3 linked regions of the Schizosaccharomyces pombe genome follow. The protein of the gene in region 2 interacts with the protein of the main gene of each other region in a biochemical or structural test. Each region holds a gene or a part of one and is shown on either strand. Other genes may lie near its edges.

What was found.
Region 1: the proteins of pcn1 (region 2) and pxd1 interact in a test that uses a peptide from one of them, tested with the Schizosaccharomyces pombe proteins (one study listed by BioGRID).
Region 3: the proteins of pcn1 (region 2) and cdc27 form a complex in vitro, tested with the Schizosaccharomyces pombe proteins (2 studies listed by BioGRID, with this or other methods).

The regions. Positions count from the first base shown.
Region 1 is NC_003421.2:1,283,416-1,289,112, reverse strand, and holds pxd1 (protein Pdx1), read right to left. Parts: upstream 2,948-5,697; 5' UTR 2,764-2,947; coding exon 1,708-2,763; 3' UTR 1,582-1,707; downstream 1-1,581. Other genes in the region: trp1322 (TRP-like ion channel protein), read right to left, coding at 1-976; rpm1 (3' ssRNA-specific 3'-to-5' exonuclease), read right to left, coding at 3,078-5,697.
Region 2 is NC_003423.3:3,614,038-3,619,289, reverse strand, and holds pcn1 (DNA polymerase delta processivity factor), read right to left. Parts: upstream 2,696-5,252; 5' UTR 2,606-2,695; coding exon 2,525-2,605; intron 2,416-2,524; exon of another isoform or gene 2,414-2,415; coding exon 1,712-2,413; 3' UTR 1,445-1,711; downstream 1-1,444. Other genes in the region: heat shock protein Hsp104, read left to right, coding at 4,214-5,252.
Region 3 is NC_003423.3:1,060,583-1,066,515, forward strand, and holds cdc27 (DNA polymerase delta subunit Cdc27), read right to left. Parts: upstream 2,843-5,933; 5' UTR 2,796-2,842; coding exon 2,742-2,795; intron 2,693-2,741; coding exon 2,637-2,692; intron 2,581-2,636; coding exon 2,414-2,580; exon of another isoform or gene 2,360-2,413; coding exon 2,292-2,359; exon of another isoform or gene 2,236-2,291; coding exon 2,128-2,235; exon of another isoform or gene 2,054-2,127; coding exon 1,388-2,053; 3' UTR 1,136-1,387; downstream 1-1,135. Other genes in the region: pre-rRNA processing protein Esf1, read right to left, coding at 1-988; fol1 (dihydropteroate synthase), read left to right, coding at 3,618-5,819.

The sequences.
Region 1 (5,697 bases), on a different chromosome or scaffold from region 2:
ATGCAGTACCTATTCCTATAGAATCGAGAAACGAATACATGCCATATGACTTAGGCAAATAATCCGCATAACTAGAGGATGCTACAGACAAGTCGGCAAAGTCTGCAAATTGATATTCAGCAGGCTCGGAGAAAATGGGAAATCGAAATAGAGCAGTGCCCCAAGAAAGAGCAGCCATAATATTTATGTAAAATTTTGGAAACATAACACTAACCTGAGCTGTAGAAACAGCAAATTGCAAGTATTGCACAAAATCAAAAAATCCAAGGGATGTTAAACGAAGAGCATCAGGGTCCATATTAAAATTAAAAATCGACTTAAATGGATCTAAACTGCCGGTCCATGGATTTAAAAAAAGAGCATAAATAATGGAAAACGAGACATATGCGAGCGACACAACAACCAAATATGAAATAACTGGATAAAAATAATACAAAGTTGTGGACAAACCAAACTTCATACAAGTTATTACATTTTTCTCGGGAGTACCGTCAACAACGATTACTCGCGTTGTTAATGTAGTCAATTCGTATTTTGAGTAATCGGACAAGGTGGATTTAAAGGGAACTTTAACCATGAAAGCGGCACTTCCAGCTGCCCAAGGACATTTTATGGGGACTTCAAAAGAATGAGGATCCATAACAACATCACAAAGCTTTGTGGTATTGGATGTGACCAGTTTTCCTAACGCATAAGTTTCCGAATAAACTGAAGCAGCGTGAATATGTGAGCCATTTCCACCCACAATCGTTATAACTCCGGATAAATTCCCCACTACTTGAATGTAGTACATCCGATTCACTTCATCAAAATTCTTGATAACTGCATATGGGCTAAAGGTAGGAATACCTGCTCTCGGTACAAAGTTTGAACAAGTCTCAAAATAATCCAAACTTGGGGATCCATTCACTGCTGAAAGAAGGCTGTAAAAAACGATATGAAGAAAGAGGAAAACAGAGTACGGGCGAGGCTTCATTATTATCCAAACACAAACATTCTAATAAATTTTAATATAAATAGATCCAACCTTGAATTCTTTTGATTCTCTATGAAACGAAATTTGAAAAAGACTTTAACTGCTCAGGGTTGGTAATTTGAGCAATTACAAATGCAGTTATTTAGAAAGAAAAGAAGGTTTCAAAAAATGAATGCTTTGTAAGATATAAGTAGGCCAGAGACGCGAAACACATAAATTGCTATTTCTCGTGTGTGTAGTTAATGACAAACACATGCTCTCGCGTTCCTTGTCCTAGTATTAGATAATAAAGATTAACTACGCAGCACGTTAGTGAAATTTTATGAAAAATTTCCGGCTCGTTAAATAAATAACATAATAATATACTATTTCGTTATTTTCCAAAGACAAATCTGCTCAAGAAAAGGTCCTAACATTAGCGCTTTATATGCATATATTATAAACCATACAGCGCTATTGAGATATAAAAAAAAACAAATAAGACAAGAAGAACTCAGTAACGTTCTCAAAGACGTTTAAAACTCGAGTCATAAAGTCCCTTCTGCTTTGGTCCTTCAAAATTAAGACAAGCTATCTACTCGTTATTTTTAGTTCTAACTTATCACATAAATATATACATTTAAAATTATTGAAATAATATTCTTGACTTGTTAGATATATAACGTACATTAAATCATCATTACGGGACCAGCTCGCCAAAAGTTTGCTATACTTAGTCTAACATAAATATTTCACTTTTCAAAATTTACGTTTCTTTCCTGAAGCCACGAGTGCAGAGTGTCCAAAGATACATAAACACCGTGCTTTAAAAGTATTTCGAGAAGGTCGTTTGAGGAAATACGTAGGGCATTTGAATTTTTCCATAAATAATGATACAACTTTTTTCCACCAGGGCTTCGAAAGAACGTTGAAATATTAGAAGAACACATTACTTGAGGAACCAGGAGATTATCAGCAACTTTCTTTTCATCGTGTTCGCAATTAACTATCGGATCGGACTCAAGGGTGGTAAAAGACTCTTCTCCAGAATCAGAGGTTGGAAATACCGACATACCAAAACAAGAACCAGCTTGTTCAATATCATAGCGATTATCATCATCGATACGGGTGCATACTCCTCTCAACATGTTTAACTCCCCACTTATCGAAGGTACTTGTTGGGACAATAAGTCACCCTCATTTCCAATTAGGTAATAGACATTAGTTCTAAATGATGATATCCATAAGTAAGGCGTAATTTGACAACCGATATTGCTGTGGTGGAACCCAGGTTCGACATTCATGAGTTCATCAGACAGAGGAAACTTTGGCTTATGCCTTTTAGCAATAGAAATAGCAATTTCTGGATGAACAACTTTGGACTTAAATTGTCTCTTACTAACACGAACTCTAGAATCTTCTGAAACAGAAGCCGTCATAAGTAACGGCTTTTTCTTGGGAATGGTATGGCCAAAGCTTAATGGGGTCAAGCTTTCTGAATGCAATTGATCAACGGAATTATTTTTTTCTTCAAAATATTTGGTAACTCTTGATGTAATACTGTTATAAGAAACCTTCGATTTAGAAGAACGAATGTGTGGTTTCTCAACTTTAGTAAAGTCATGAATATTAGCATTATCCTTTTTCAGGAAAGAATGCAGCGTTTTCTGTCGCGGTGCTGCATGGACTTTCATCTGGTATCGAAACCGCTGAACCTTCTCTGCAAAACTTTGCGCAGCATCATTTTCTTCAACATTAACGTCGTTTAAATTTAAAGAGGGTGCTGTTTCACCTTTAGATTCAATCATTTTTCTTAACTTAGATTTTAAACAACGCAGCACACTTCGTCGATGGATTTATAAGCATCCAAAGACATTTGCTTCTTGTCTTACAAAAAATAGAAAAAGAAAATATATTTTAATCACAAGAGTCAAGGTTAACAAAGAGACTTCATAGTAAAACTACCTGTTGGTTTTTGAGATGAGTTTTGGCGAAACAGGTTACTATCAAATCCCAAAACATAATTTATTTATATCGTTAAGTCTCGGTAAATTGATAAAATGCAGGATTGAGTATTTAATTAAGTAAAATTATATCCATAAAAATAGTTTTAATAAGTTTGTTAGGTCGCTAAAGCAACTAATAGGATATTAGACTCCGGAAAGACATCCTTAATTGTAAATGCCTGGCGAGTATTTGCTAACCGGAATGCTTCGTCCGGGAGAATATCAATATGCGCTTTAACACCCAATTCTTCCAACATGACCTGAGGTGTTGAAAGTTCTGAAACCATTAAATATCCATGATAAATATTTTTTTGTACCTTTGGAAGTCTCTCTATATATTTTAAGGCCCAGAAACGATTAATGTATCTTCCTATAGTTTTAATTGATTTTTCTTTTTGGTTGTACAAATTTAGTTTTCCACGAAGAATACCATCAGGTATAGTATTTTTTGGAGTCTTTAATAATACCGACTGAATCTGATGATGAGTGAAGAAGTCGGTAAACCGGCGTAAAGGAGAGGTAGACTGAATATAGCCATCCTTTAGCCCCAAAGAAAAGTGGGAAACAGGTGTGGAGGCTAAATGTGAACTTTCAAATAAAGGCATTACAGAAAGTGAATACTTAGTTTCAACGAGTCCCCAAGATGACCTGTTACTTAACAAAGTTTCAAACGCTTTTCTTCGTACACCATCCATAATTGGATAAGGCTGGCCCCTAAAAATCCCAGGTAATTTATGTTCTTGAAAAAATAATGATGAAACCCGGCCAGCCAATATCATGCACTCTGATATTACTGATTCTGCCAAGCTATACCCTTCACTAACGTTCAAACTAATTGTAGGGAAGGAAGACCAGTATACTGGATGATTCAGATCACCAAGATTATAAGGGACATTATTAGGCAGCAATTCAACTGTCGGAGTGGGTTGTGCAATAACAAACGCAAACTTTTGTAACCTAGAAAAACAGGCTTGTTTCGAAAGTTCATATATTCTTAATATATCTTTCATGTGATCATTTGATACTCCTTTTGTTTCCTCATCCACTGGTCCAGAAACGATGTCTTTCGCAATTGATCGATTACTATGCAAAGCTTTATCCAGTTGTTGGGGTGTGTATTTGATAACTGAGGAAATGAAGCTAGGCCGAACCTTGTAATCAAGTATATCGCCATTTTTTGAAATTTTAGCACTAAAAGTTAATGCTCTTTGAGCTGTAGAAGATGAATCTAAACTCCAATATTTCTGAGTGATATTGAGAGGTAGCATATACACAATTTTGTTGGGATGATAAATAGTTTGAAAGTTCCTTTCAGCAAACGTGCCTAAAGGACTGCGAATGTCAACTGTACTCGTAGGATTAGCAACATGGATATGAAGCCAGGAATTAGACATCCCTAATTCTTCAACCGAAATCGCATCATCTATCTCTTTCGTAGAAGAACTATCAAAGGCGAACGCTTTAAGATGCCTTAAATCGACGCGTTGCGATTCAAGTGAATCTTTTAATTCATTTTTTACAAACTTTTTAAAGTGATTACACTCACGTTCATACACAGCATCTAACTGAGGATTAGTACCAAGGCCAGCAATGCTGTATTCCTGTTGAAACAACCTCGGGGGCTGCCATGAAGCCCACACGCCAATATCCGTTAAGAATTTAGCAAACTGATCACTAGTTAATCCCCTCTCGTGAGTTTGAAGGCCAACTTCTTTGTAAACCTGACACAAGTGTGTATTTGGTAAACTTTGAATACTTTTTGCAATCATTTCCTGAACAAGATACCGCAATAGTTTTTTTTCAAATTCAGTCCAAGTGACCTGTGAATAAACTACGGGTTTTATTTCTTCGGTGCTTATAGGTAACTTATATTTATCTCGGGAAACTTGAATTAAATGACGAGCTTTCTTTATAAACGAAAGATATGGTGTTGATTTCTGACGCAGGCATGCAACAACGTCGTCAAAAGAATCATTTTGTGAAGAGGGAAGGAAATAGACTTTTTGAATTTCGGAAAATATGTGATCGCTTATTAAAAAATGTTTGCTTTCTGTAAGCAAAAAGTGTAACAATGAGATTTTAGCATATGGGCTAGGCTTCGAAGTTTTGTACACAAATTTCAAAAGGTCTGAAAAAGAAGCTGAATTGTCAAGTTTATTTGGAATATTGAATTCTGTCAATATTCGCAAAAATTCATTTCGGTGACTTCGACTTAAATCTTGTGCTCTTTGAGAGATTTTTTTTAATAACTTTATAGTGAAAGGTAGGACATCAGAAGGAACAGAAACATCAGAAAGAGGTTGCTGCACCTCTTTCAGCTTTTTAAAGACATTAGGACATCTCAGTAAAACTCTAGATGTACGAAATTCCTTAATAGTACCGTTTTCGTTAATGCTGGTCAATACATTACTATAGTTCCAAACATTAGTACCAGTGCATGCAGCAAGTTCAATGCCTTCGGAGCCCCTATAAAACACTAGCAAATCTCCACGATCGTACTGTCTAAAATTCTCACTGCTGAAATCTTCTAAATCAAAAGAATACTCAAAATCATTTTCCAACTTCTCTTCCTCAGATTTTGTAGTAGTAGGACAAACAGCAGCGCGTTTGTCCTTCTCGAACTTGTCTTTCAACCACTGTCTAATGTTTCCATGATTTTCTAATTCAGAGAAAAATTTTTTAAGGTTTTCCTCATTCACGGATTTCAAATTAGCATTTTTAAATCGATCAATAAGA
Region 2 (5,252 bases):
GCCAAACCTATCGTTGCCGCATCCAAAATACACGGCTTTTATGTGAAGCTGTTTTAATGCAGCAGCACACATTAGACACGGTTCAACAGTCACGTATAAAGTGGTTTCTTTGAAAACAGATGCTGGGTAGTGTTCTAAAATTTTTTCTATAGCGATAAGTTCAGCATGTCGAATCCCCTTTATCATCGTCAGCAAAGGCATATTAAAATAAGGCTTACCGAGAGGCTGCAGTTAGTTTCATTAAAACCACGGCCTATTACTTCTCCTTTATATACAAAGACGCAACTACCGGGACTTCTCGGTTGGATAACGAAGTACGGGCCTAAATTTAGGACTTTTAGTTGTTAATATGTAGGAAATTGAGCTTACCATTTCATGCGCCAACTTCATATATGTTTCATGCTGAGTATCATATTTCACCGTATTTGATGAACTTGTTTTGTTCATTTCCGCGAGGATATCTTGAAGATGTTGGCTTACAAAAAGTAGGGCTGTGTCAATGTTTTCTTTTTGAGGGAGTATAATATCAGCGTTCTCTCGAGTCTTCCAATAATTAGTATACAACAGCAAATAAGAGTTTAACATACTGGATGAATCGAAGAGTCGTATGCAGGTTTAGACAAAGTTACAAACTAAAAGAAATTAGAATAAACCTAGAAGAAAAACCCTTACATCGTTCAAAACTTTGGTTAAGTCTCCTTTTTCTGCTTTGACCCTCTGTAAAACGCAGCGTTCCAAACGAGTATCTGCATCTTCATATACAAAAATTTTAGACGTATAGTAGGGCAGCAATTCGGGAAGAAGAAGATAGTAACCTTCGATTAGAATAATTCTATTCTGGTCTACAGGTAGCTTTATACAAGAACCATCTGGCAAACATATTTTCTCGGCTCCTTGAGAAATCAAAGAAAGAACTTTTTTAAACGCTTCAATATCGTAAGAGGAAAGTGCATACCTGTCGACAGAATTGGGATAAAGAAATGAAGTAAGATGGATCAATTTAGAAAAAGTTGAAGGTGCTGATGACTTTAAACGTTCAAGTAATTGCTCACAGAGTTGTGTCTAGTATTAAAGTATTAGAATTAAGAAAAAAATATTTTAATAAAATACCTTTCCAGAAAAAGGACCCCCAGCAATCCCAATGATTGCACTTTTCACACTATCTCCTGCCATAGTATATTCAACGCTAAAAATTTCAAATATAGCCAAATAGTAAAATATATAAATTATTACGAAAAGTTGGCAGTATAGAGAGTAAGGAATTCTATCTTCTTTAAGTAACTTTTACGCCTTGCTGCTACTGGTGGTAGCGTTGGTAGTATTTGGGCGAACTGTCCCTCCGAGGCTCTTACGCGGTTAGCCATATAAGTATACAATTATCAGTTAGAATAAATTCTCAGAATTAAGCTAATTTACATATCAATGTATTATATCATGTACTAGACTTAAATCAACAAGCTACAGCAGATGATTACGAAGTTATCTGTGAAAAATCATCACTAAGAACACAAGTTTTTCTACCCTTCAGTTTGTTGGTTCTAAAGAATTTGATTTTTTTTAAGTAAAAGCTGGTATTTTGCCTGTTTGGATATGAATGTTAGGGAAGGAGCAGTACAAAAAAGGTTGAATTAAAAAGTAAACAAAAGTATGTTTATAATGATGCTAGCTCGTCAATTGCAAAGAGATTACTAAAAGATATTGATTCCGTAATCTACTCCTCATCCTCCTCACCAATTTTTGGGGCAAGATAAAATCGTAAAAATCCGGATTCCATTTTATACTCCACAAGAAGTGGAACATCATTGCTCATTGAAAGTGTGACTCGGGTAGCTAAAGGAGTAGCCTTAGTGAACTGGGCTAAATATTTCAAAGAAAACGTAAGTGTTACAGCTTGGGTAAGAGAAATTTCGATACTTTGATCTTGGTCAGAAAGATCGGTATGTTGTTTCAGCGTGGTACTACCATTACCAATATCTCCCTTGCAGCTAAAACGAACACCCTCTTTACTAGCATTGATTGTTACTGAATCACTCAAAGTTAATAAATCTCGAGTAATGCGTTGAAATTCGGCAGCAGGCATAGTAATAGTAGCATCGTATTCGATATCTGGTATACCCAAGTGTTCTTGATCAATGTCCATTAATTTAACATCATAATCAGAGATCCTGTCATTTTTCTCGCTCTCGAAAACCAAATTCAATACCTCAGGTGTATCTTCAGCCTTTAAAGTAACCAAATCCTCGTTTTGGGCACACCGTAAGACCTTTGATAAGGCGTTCAGATTTATACCTAAAGCAATATTTCTATCACACCGATATGGTTCAAATCCATCTGATTTAATAAGCATAGAAACAAGGGCTACATGAGAACTATCCATAGCCTGCAGAGAGATACCGTTGTCATTGCAATCAAACTGTTATGAGGTTAGAGAATCATTCAAAAGAAGTTAATAAATATATTTTTTTTAAAAAAAAGAAAGGCTTTGTCGTTGAGCATCTTTATTTATATGCTGCCCCTTACATACATTAGCATCTGTAACTAACTCCTTGATGGCATCGAGAAGCTTTTTCAACAAAGCAGCCTGCTGAAATCTAGCTTCAAGCATAGTCGTAATTATATTTTATACAAGCTAGATAAGAGATATAAAGAATAGCTAACAAAGGTTACTGCAAAAACCTTTTGTAGTTGGCTTTTGGGAAGTAGTCAAAGAGCGCGTAGCACAGAATAGTGTGCGTAAAATTGCTAGCTGACAACGTAAAAAATCTCAAGAACCTTTCATATATGAGACCAAAATAGCAGTTCACGTTATTATAATTTGTTTTGTTATTTTTTTTATTTTTACAATAGCAAGTAATTTCGTCCGTACTTTTTAGATGCGTTTGATATGAAATATTATACAAAATTATGGAAAACTAACTGAAAAAATAGTATTTGCATGTTACTATGAAATTTTTATCTTTCGTTTGCTGTACTAATTCACGGTTCTATTTATGTCTTTTTAAAGAAGCAATATTCAGTTATCGAAATTTTCTAGCTATACGGATTATAATAAGCCAAATGTAATCAGCGAGTCATTACAATTTACGGCGTAAACTAGGAGAGCTTTCGCGTTCTACCTTAATATACTTTCCAGGATCAAATAAAATTTAGGCTACACTAATGTATCAAGTAAATTGTACATTTTCCATATTAGCTGCTACCGAAATTTATTAACTTATTTTCACGTTGCAATGACATATAAAATGATTGAAAAAAACGTTATTTTAATTGGTATTAACACGGAAAACTTAAAACGAATTTTATTGCTGGTTTAAATAAGACTAAAGAGGTATGAAAATAAGAATGAAGTATACTTGTTCGCTAAGGAAAAAATATGTATTCACAACAAATTCATTCGTTTTTTTTTCTTCTCAATATTCGTAGATTACAGTTACGTTAACAAGAATTCACTGTTGGTTTGTTTAGTTTATAAACCACTATGGTCAAGTAACTAAAGTTCGTTAAATGTCATTACGACGAATAATCGCTACCGTATAGAATAAGTAATGTAAGAGCTCTATCTTAGAAATAGCTTGGAAATATGACTAGAATCTCTGTAATAGAAGAACTATGTATCAAAAAATTATTTATTCAGTCATTGATGAATTCTAACGGTATTTAGCAAGATGCAATTGAGAATAAGTTGAGGTTAGTATCCGTCTTTACGTTGTTCCATACACTACGTAATACGCAGATCATTTCCGGGTTTCGAGTATTCCATGTTTAAAGACAATTCAAAGACTTTTAAGGTAACTGCATTTTTAATTTACACCGGTTTTTTTTTAAGCTATTTTTCTCTTATTTTTTTAAATCTTCTAGTCATGTCTTTGGGATTTACCCTACTTTATCCCTTTCTTTTTCTAGAGTGTAGGAGTAGGTTCGAGTAACAATGTAACTGGCATCTTCTGGTATGTTCCTTTCCTTCCCATAGTAACATCATCGTGTATATATATGCACAGCTTCTCTACCTGCGGCATCCTCAACCATCAATCTATAACCGAAGAATTTATTATAATAACGATATTAAGTTCTTATTAAATCGAACTGAAAACCGTATATATTTACCGTTCAACGACTCTCTCTTTTTTGTTTTATAACGAGCGACAAATATACAATTCCTTTTTTTTGGATTTATCTATAAATTATAAAAATTCCTATAATAATATAACTCGATATGGCTGATTATCCTTTTACTGACAAAGCCGCAAAGACATTGTCTGATGCGTACTCAATTGCACAATCTTATGGTCATTCACAATTAACCCCTATTCACATTGCTGCTGCTCTTTTGTCCGACAGTGACAGTAACGGTACTACCTTACTGCGCACCATCGTCGACAAAGCTGGTGGTGATGGTCAAAAGTTTGAGCGAAGTGTTACTAGTCGGTTAGTTCGCTTGCCTGCTCAGGATCCACCTCCAGAACAAGTGACTCTGTCACCTGAAAGTGCGAAACTGCTGCGAAATGCTCATGAACTTCAAAAAACACAAAAAGATTCTTACATTGCTCAAGATCATTTTATCGCTGTGTTCACTAAAGACGACACGCTAAAGAGTTTATTGGCAGAAGCCGGTGTCACCCCGAAAGCGTTTGAATTTGCTGTAAATAACGTCCGTGGTAATAAAAGAATCGATTCAAAGAATGCCGAGGAAGGATTTGATGCACTAAATAAATTTACTGTTGATCTTACAGAGCTCGCTAGAAATGGTCAACTGGATCCAGTTATCGGACGTGAAGATGAAATTCGTCGTACAATTCGCGTACTTTCTAGAAGAACGAAAAATAATCCAGTTCTTATTGGTGAGCCTGGTGTAGGTAAGACCTCCATTGCTGAAGGACTTGCTCGTCGTATAATTGACGATGATGTCCCCGCTAATCTTTCGAATTGTAAGCTTCTCAGCCTGGACGTCGGAAGCTTAGTTGCCGGCTCCAAATTTCGTGGTGAATTTGAAGAGCGTATCAAATCTGTTTTAAAAGAAGTTGAAGAAAGTGAAACTCCCATTATTTTATTCGTAGATGAAATGCATCTTTTAATGGGCGCAGGTTCCGGTGGTGAAGGTGGCATGGACGCTGCCAATTTGCTGAAGCCAATGCTTGCACGTGGTAAGCTTCACTGTATTGGTGCTACTACTTTGGCTGAATACAAGAAATACATCGAAAAAGATGCTGCTTTCGAACGTAGATTCCAAATCATCTTGGTAAAAGAGCCTTCTA
Region 3 (5,933 bases), 2.6 Mb from region 2:
AATCGTAAATATTAGCGCTAGTTTCATACTCAGCGCCATCACAAGTTTCGTATATAACCTTTGCCGTTCTTACACTATCACATTCCACTACTGCGTAATAGTAACGAAGCCTTTCTAATTGATACTGGCGTAATTTTACCATATCAAACTCGTTGCCTAAATCCTCCTCTATTAAAGCATCTTCCTCATCTTGATCAGACTCATTGTTATCAAAACCAAATTTTTGAGCCTCATGCAATTCGGCGCTAGAAGGTTGATTGTCAGCTGGAGTAAATATATCACGTGGAGGACCCTGAACATGTTCCGCAGCCATTCTGGATTTTCCAAATTCACTGGGATAAATCGACACTTTCAGTAACTTCCCACCAGGAGGACAAAAAGAAGAAAGAGCAACAAAAAGATCAACTGCTTGAAGATTATCCCAATCCATGTTTACTACAGCAAGACGGTTAGTTTCTGAACCACGAGGAATATTCTCTTCTGGCTCGATTCCAGCTAATTCGGATATCTCCGGTTGAGCTTCAGTTTCACTTTCAGCGTCGCTTTCATCGCTACTTTCCGAAGTACTAATAATTCCCTCACCACGAGCTGGATCATATACTTCCTCATCTTCGGACTCCTCATCGGTTAATTCTTCCGATTTTGTGGATTTCGAAGACGCTGAAGCGACTTCTTCGTTGTCAGTAATTTCCGATGATTCAGACGAACTGGACGACCCTTCATTTTCCAGTTCATACAGTCTATCAATCTCTTTAGTAGCCTTATCTTGGTTGAGAGGACGGCCATATCGATCAACACTGGCAGTAGTTTTAAAGTCCTTATCCTCCTTGAGAGATTTAAACCGCTCATCAACTTTTACTTTAAAATTGCCACGTTTAAGTCTAGAAAATCTAGGATCAGAGTGAACTGATTGAAATCTAGGATCCGCAACTACGTTGCTTTCACTCCTTGATTTAGCATTAATAGGCTTCGTCTGCTTTTTGCCCATGACTACTTCCAATATACAAGGCTTTGACTAAATATGAAGTTCAACTTTCAAATTATGTGTTGTAGTTAACGCACATTAACGCATTGTGGTTCATTAATGTATGGAGTATTTAATACTTCTAATAAAAAAAAGAATCGATTCTTCTATGCTTTGAGGAAACATATTTATTTATGATATTTAAAATTAAAAGATGTATTGATAATTGATTTCGACTTCTCTTAGACTTACATAGTTGGTTGTGAATAGTGTAAACAAAACTAAAAACAGTAGATTAGGATTAAAGGTTGTACTAACATTAACAGTTTTTCTATATGAATAAAACTCCTGATAATAGCTTGCATGAGAATTGAAGGGACTTCGTGAACACATGTTTTAATACTATCGAAAATGAATAGTAACTTATTTCTTTCCAAAAAAGGACATAATAGACTTTTGTTGTGGTTTACTTTGTGCAGTATTCTTCTTCTTAGTTGCAATGTTTACAGTAGTCGGTTTGTTTCTAACAACATTTGAAGTACCAGTTGAGATGTTTTCATCTTCAGAAAATGATTCCCAGACTTCTTCTTCCTTAGTAACCAAGAATCCTTCTTCATCTTTCGTTGTCGCGTACTTTTTAACTTTTCTTTTCCCACGTCTCTTTCCACCGGATACGGATTTGATAATTTCCTGAGGTTCGTCAGGTGCAGCAGATTTTGCTTCGGTACCAATTTCCAATTGGAAATTATTAGAATCTAAATTATCATCTTCAGAATCGTGAACGCTAGTGGTAGATACTGATTCATCTTCTAGCTGCATAATATTTTTCAGATCATCGCGCTCTCTCTTTGCTTGCTCAGACAACTTCTCCTCCTTTGGCAAGAGAGGCTCCTTTTCTTTATGATTTTCAAGAGGAGCTTTTTTATTTTTACGAGATGAGTTTCCCTTTTGGTTCCTTGCATTACTGAAAATATCTTTCCCTTTAGTCTTTTCTGTACTACGTGTGTCAGTCTTATCGATTGTCGATGTCTTTGAGGGAACAGATAATTGGGGGGAATGAGTTGAAGGTGCCTTTTTCAAAACACGAGGCTACAATAAGTTAGTCTTCCGAAGACGGAAGGATCGAATGTCAAACAACGATTGTTGTGATATAAATTACTTACCACGGAATTTTCATTGAAAATAAATCCATACTTATCAGCATCTTCTTTTTTGTATAAAACATCTTTCTCTCTTATTTCATATACTGCAGGTAATAATTCGTCAAAATCCTTAATTAAATCAATTAGTTTGTAACAATATAAAATACAGCTTATCGAATACTTACACTTAATGGAGCAGATGAAAGAGCAAATATAACAGTTTTATACCCACTTTTCAATCTACTTTGTTTCTCTACAAATAGTTAGCGAATCTGCTATCGAATGATCGGAATTGACAATAACAAACCTTGTAGAGAAGACTTATCACACAAAATGTATTGCAAAACAGGAAAATTAGATATAGGTTGAGATTCCTCGTCAATTTCCAAATTAATTTCATCATCTATAGGTTGTCCATGAATAAGGTATATAGGATACAAAAAATCGTTGCCTTGATAAAACATATTAAGATATCTGAAAGTATGAATTATTAATAATAAAAATAAAAAATAATGCGTATTGTTCCTTACTCTTGTGCTTTTTCACTGGATATATCCAATTGCAGACTTAAATTATCTACAGTTACCTTTTATACAGTTAGACATTCAAATTCTTGTTGAAATTTCATATCTTACAAGTGAAGATTCATTGATAACTTTAATATCTAAGAAGTTTCTCCATTCCTCCATTTTTTTAGAAATTTCTTTTTCCGCTAAGTATTCCTTAGGAAAGTGGTATTTACGAGAATAAGAAGCAGTGTGTAAAATCAACGAAATTGAAAATTAGTGGGAACAATCCTAAGGTAGGCTAAGTACTGAAGCCAGCGCAGACGAAATATGTATGAAAGATTACATTTTCATTAATGGAGTATACATGCTTAACTACATTTACAATATGTAAAATATTTAAAATCTAAATATTGACATCGCATGTTCAATTACTGCTGCTATCCAGTTCATAGAAGTATGCTAATGAAAGATTTAAAATTGAATGGGAAGTTACTTCATCAACGCTGACAGAAATTGATTTAGTAATTTACGGCATTTTTTAGTAGAATGTTTTTCAAATTTTATTAATTTTGAACATGGCAATTTGATTTTTTTTCTCTACTAATTTCCTTCTGCTTTTAAGCTGATAGCGTAAGGTTGAGTTTCACAAAGTTGTTGGAATGTTTTATATTTAATCAAACTTGATTCTCCCTTATTTCTATTTTCGGGTATAATGATTTGTAGCACATTAATGTAGTCATCTGACAAATCTCTTATAATATTATTTCTCAGTATCGCTCTATGCTCCATAGAAATGATCAGAGTATATACATATTCCCAGCTGTATTCAATAATGAATTAAATTTAATAACAGTCAAATAATGCTACAATTCTTTATCCCATATGCCTTCATTTTAGATAATTGACATCAGGATACCGTAGGTATTGCTTATTCTTACTTATCATGGTGTTGGTCGCTTCAGCAAATACTTCCAATATAGATAATCAATTCTTTAAACTCTCATGAAAAGTTTAGTAAACCTTTGGGGAATCTATCCATTCATTAGAAATAATTCTCTCCATGGTTTTGCCAAAATACCTAGAATAGTCAGCACTATCCCCAGACAACTCCGCTTCTCATCTCTACGACATCCTACTAGACAAATGGACTTGATACATGACACTGTCGTAGTTGAAAATCTTAACACATTTGCTGTAGTGGGTCAAGACCAATGGAAAAGAAAGGAACCTCAGCCAGTGCAAATTGATGTATATATGAGAAACAATGTTCAGTTAGCTGGAGAAAAAGACGAGTTAAAATCAACGATTCATTACGGTATAGCTTCTAAGCTATTACGAAAAGAAATTGAAGGGTCTTTTTTTACAACCCCTAAAGATTTGGTCAATAAAATTGCAAGTTTATGTTTTGAAGACGTTATTGATACCTCGCATGTTTCTATTAAGCTTACTTTACCCAAATGTGTTTTAAGGTCTAAAAATGGATTGCACTATTATGCTGAGCGCGAACGCAATTCTACCAGTAACTTTGTAGATCGTATTGAATTCTCGGATTTGGAGTTAGCTACGATATTAGGAATTCACGCATTTGAACGACAAGAGAAGCAAAGAGTTTGCTTAAATATATCATTTGCAAATACGGAGGTCGAAGCTTTAGAGATCGCGCGCGCAATCGCCGAATATGTCGAACAATCTGCTTTCCTGACTATAGAAGCTTTGGTTGTCAATCTTTCAAAGTATCTTTGTTTTACAAAGAATCTAGACGATATAAGCATTAAAGCTGAGAAACCTAGTGCTATCACATTCGCCAATGCTTCTGCGGTGCAAATTTATCGAACACGGTCGTACTTTTTACAAGAGTCTCTGCATAAATACGAATCCACTAAGAACAAAATTGCTTATTTGTCTTTTGGTTCAAATATTGGTGACAAATTTGAGCAAATCCAAACAGCATTATCTATGTTGCATAAAATAGAGGGTATTCGTGTGTTGGATGTTTCCCCTTTGTACGAAACAGAGCCGATGTATTATAAAGACCAACCTTCTTTTTTGAACGGTGTTTGCAAAATTGAAACCAGAATGTCGCCTATCAATCTTTTAAGAGCTTGTCAATCCATTGAACAAGAAATGGGTCGAATCAAAACAATTTTAAAAGGACCAAGGTGTATAGATCTCGATATTGTCTTGTACGAAGATTGTGTTTATGAATCAGAAGTTTTGACTATTCCCCATTTAGGGCTGCAAGAACGTGAGTTTGTTTTACGTCCATTGCTGGCCTTGAGCCCAGACTTAGTACACCCTTATACCCATCAGCCCTTACAAGAAGCTCTTGATAAATTGCCTTCACAAGGAATAAGATTGTACTCATCTTTTGACAACAAAAAAATCATTAATGGCGCCTTAACAATGGGAATTTTGAACGTGACCCCCGACTCGTTTTCTGATGGTGGTAAAGTCTCGCAGAATAATATCCTTGAAAAAGCAAAAAGTATGGTTGGAGATGGTGCTTCTATCCTAGATATAGGTGGGCAGTCTACTAAACCTGGAGCTGATCCCGTGTCTGTTGAGGAAGAACTCAGAAGAGTAATACCTATGATTAGTTTACTTCGAAGCTCAGGGATTACAGTACCCATCAGTATCGATACTTATTATTCAAAAGTTGCAAAACTAGCCATTGAGGCAGGTGCTAATATTATTAATGATGTGACTGGAGGGATGGGTGATGAGAAAATGTTACCATTAGCTGCAAGTTTACAGGTGCCCATTTGTATTATGCATATGAGAGGGACACCAGAAACTATGAAAGCACTTTCAATATATGAAAAAGATATCGTTGAAGAAGTTGCTGTCGAGTTGTCGTCTCGCGTGGAAGCTGCGGTTCAGTCCGGCGTTCATCGATACAATATTATACTGGATCCTGGCTTTGGATTTGCAAAAACACCTAAACAAAGTGCCGGTTTATTAGGAAGACTTCATGAACTGATGAAAAAACCGCAGTTTAAAGATATGCATTGGCTTTCGGGTCCAAGCCGTAAAGGGTTTACTGGTTACTTTACTGGAGACGCTAGCCCCAAAGACCGTATATGGGGTACTTCAGCTTGTGTTACAGCTAGTGTTTTACAAGGAGTAAGTATTGTACGTGTACATGACACTAAAGAAATGTCTAAAGTCGTTGGTATGGCTAATGCTATACGTTACGTACCTTAATTGCTTTGTTCTAAAATTCCAAGTTTAATATAATTTTGAAAACTTTGTAAAACAACAGTTAACGTAAGAAGTTGGTTATGTTTAATAAATCAAATCCAACGGGTTATCTTTCGT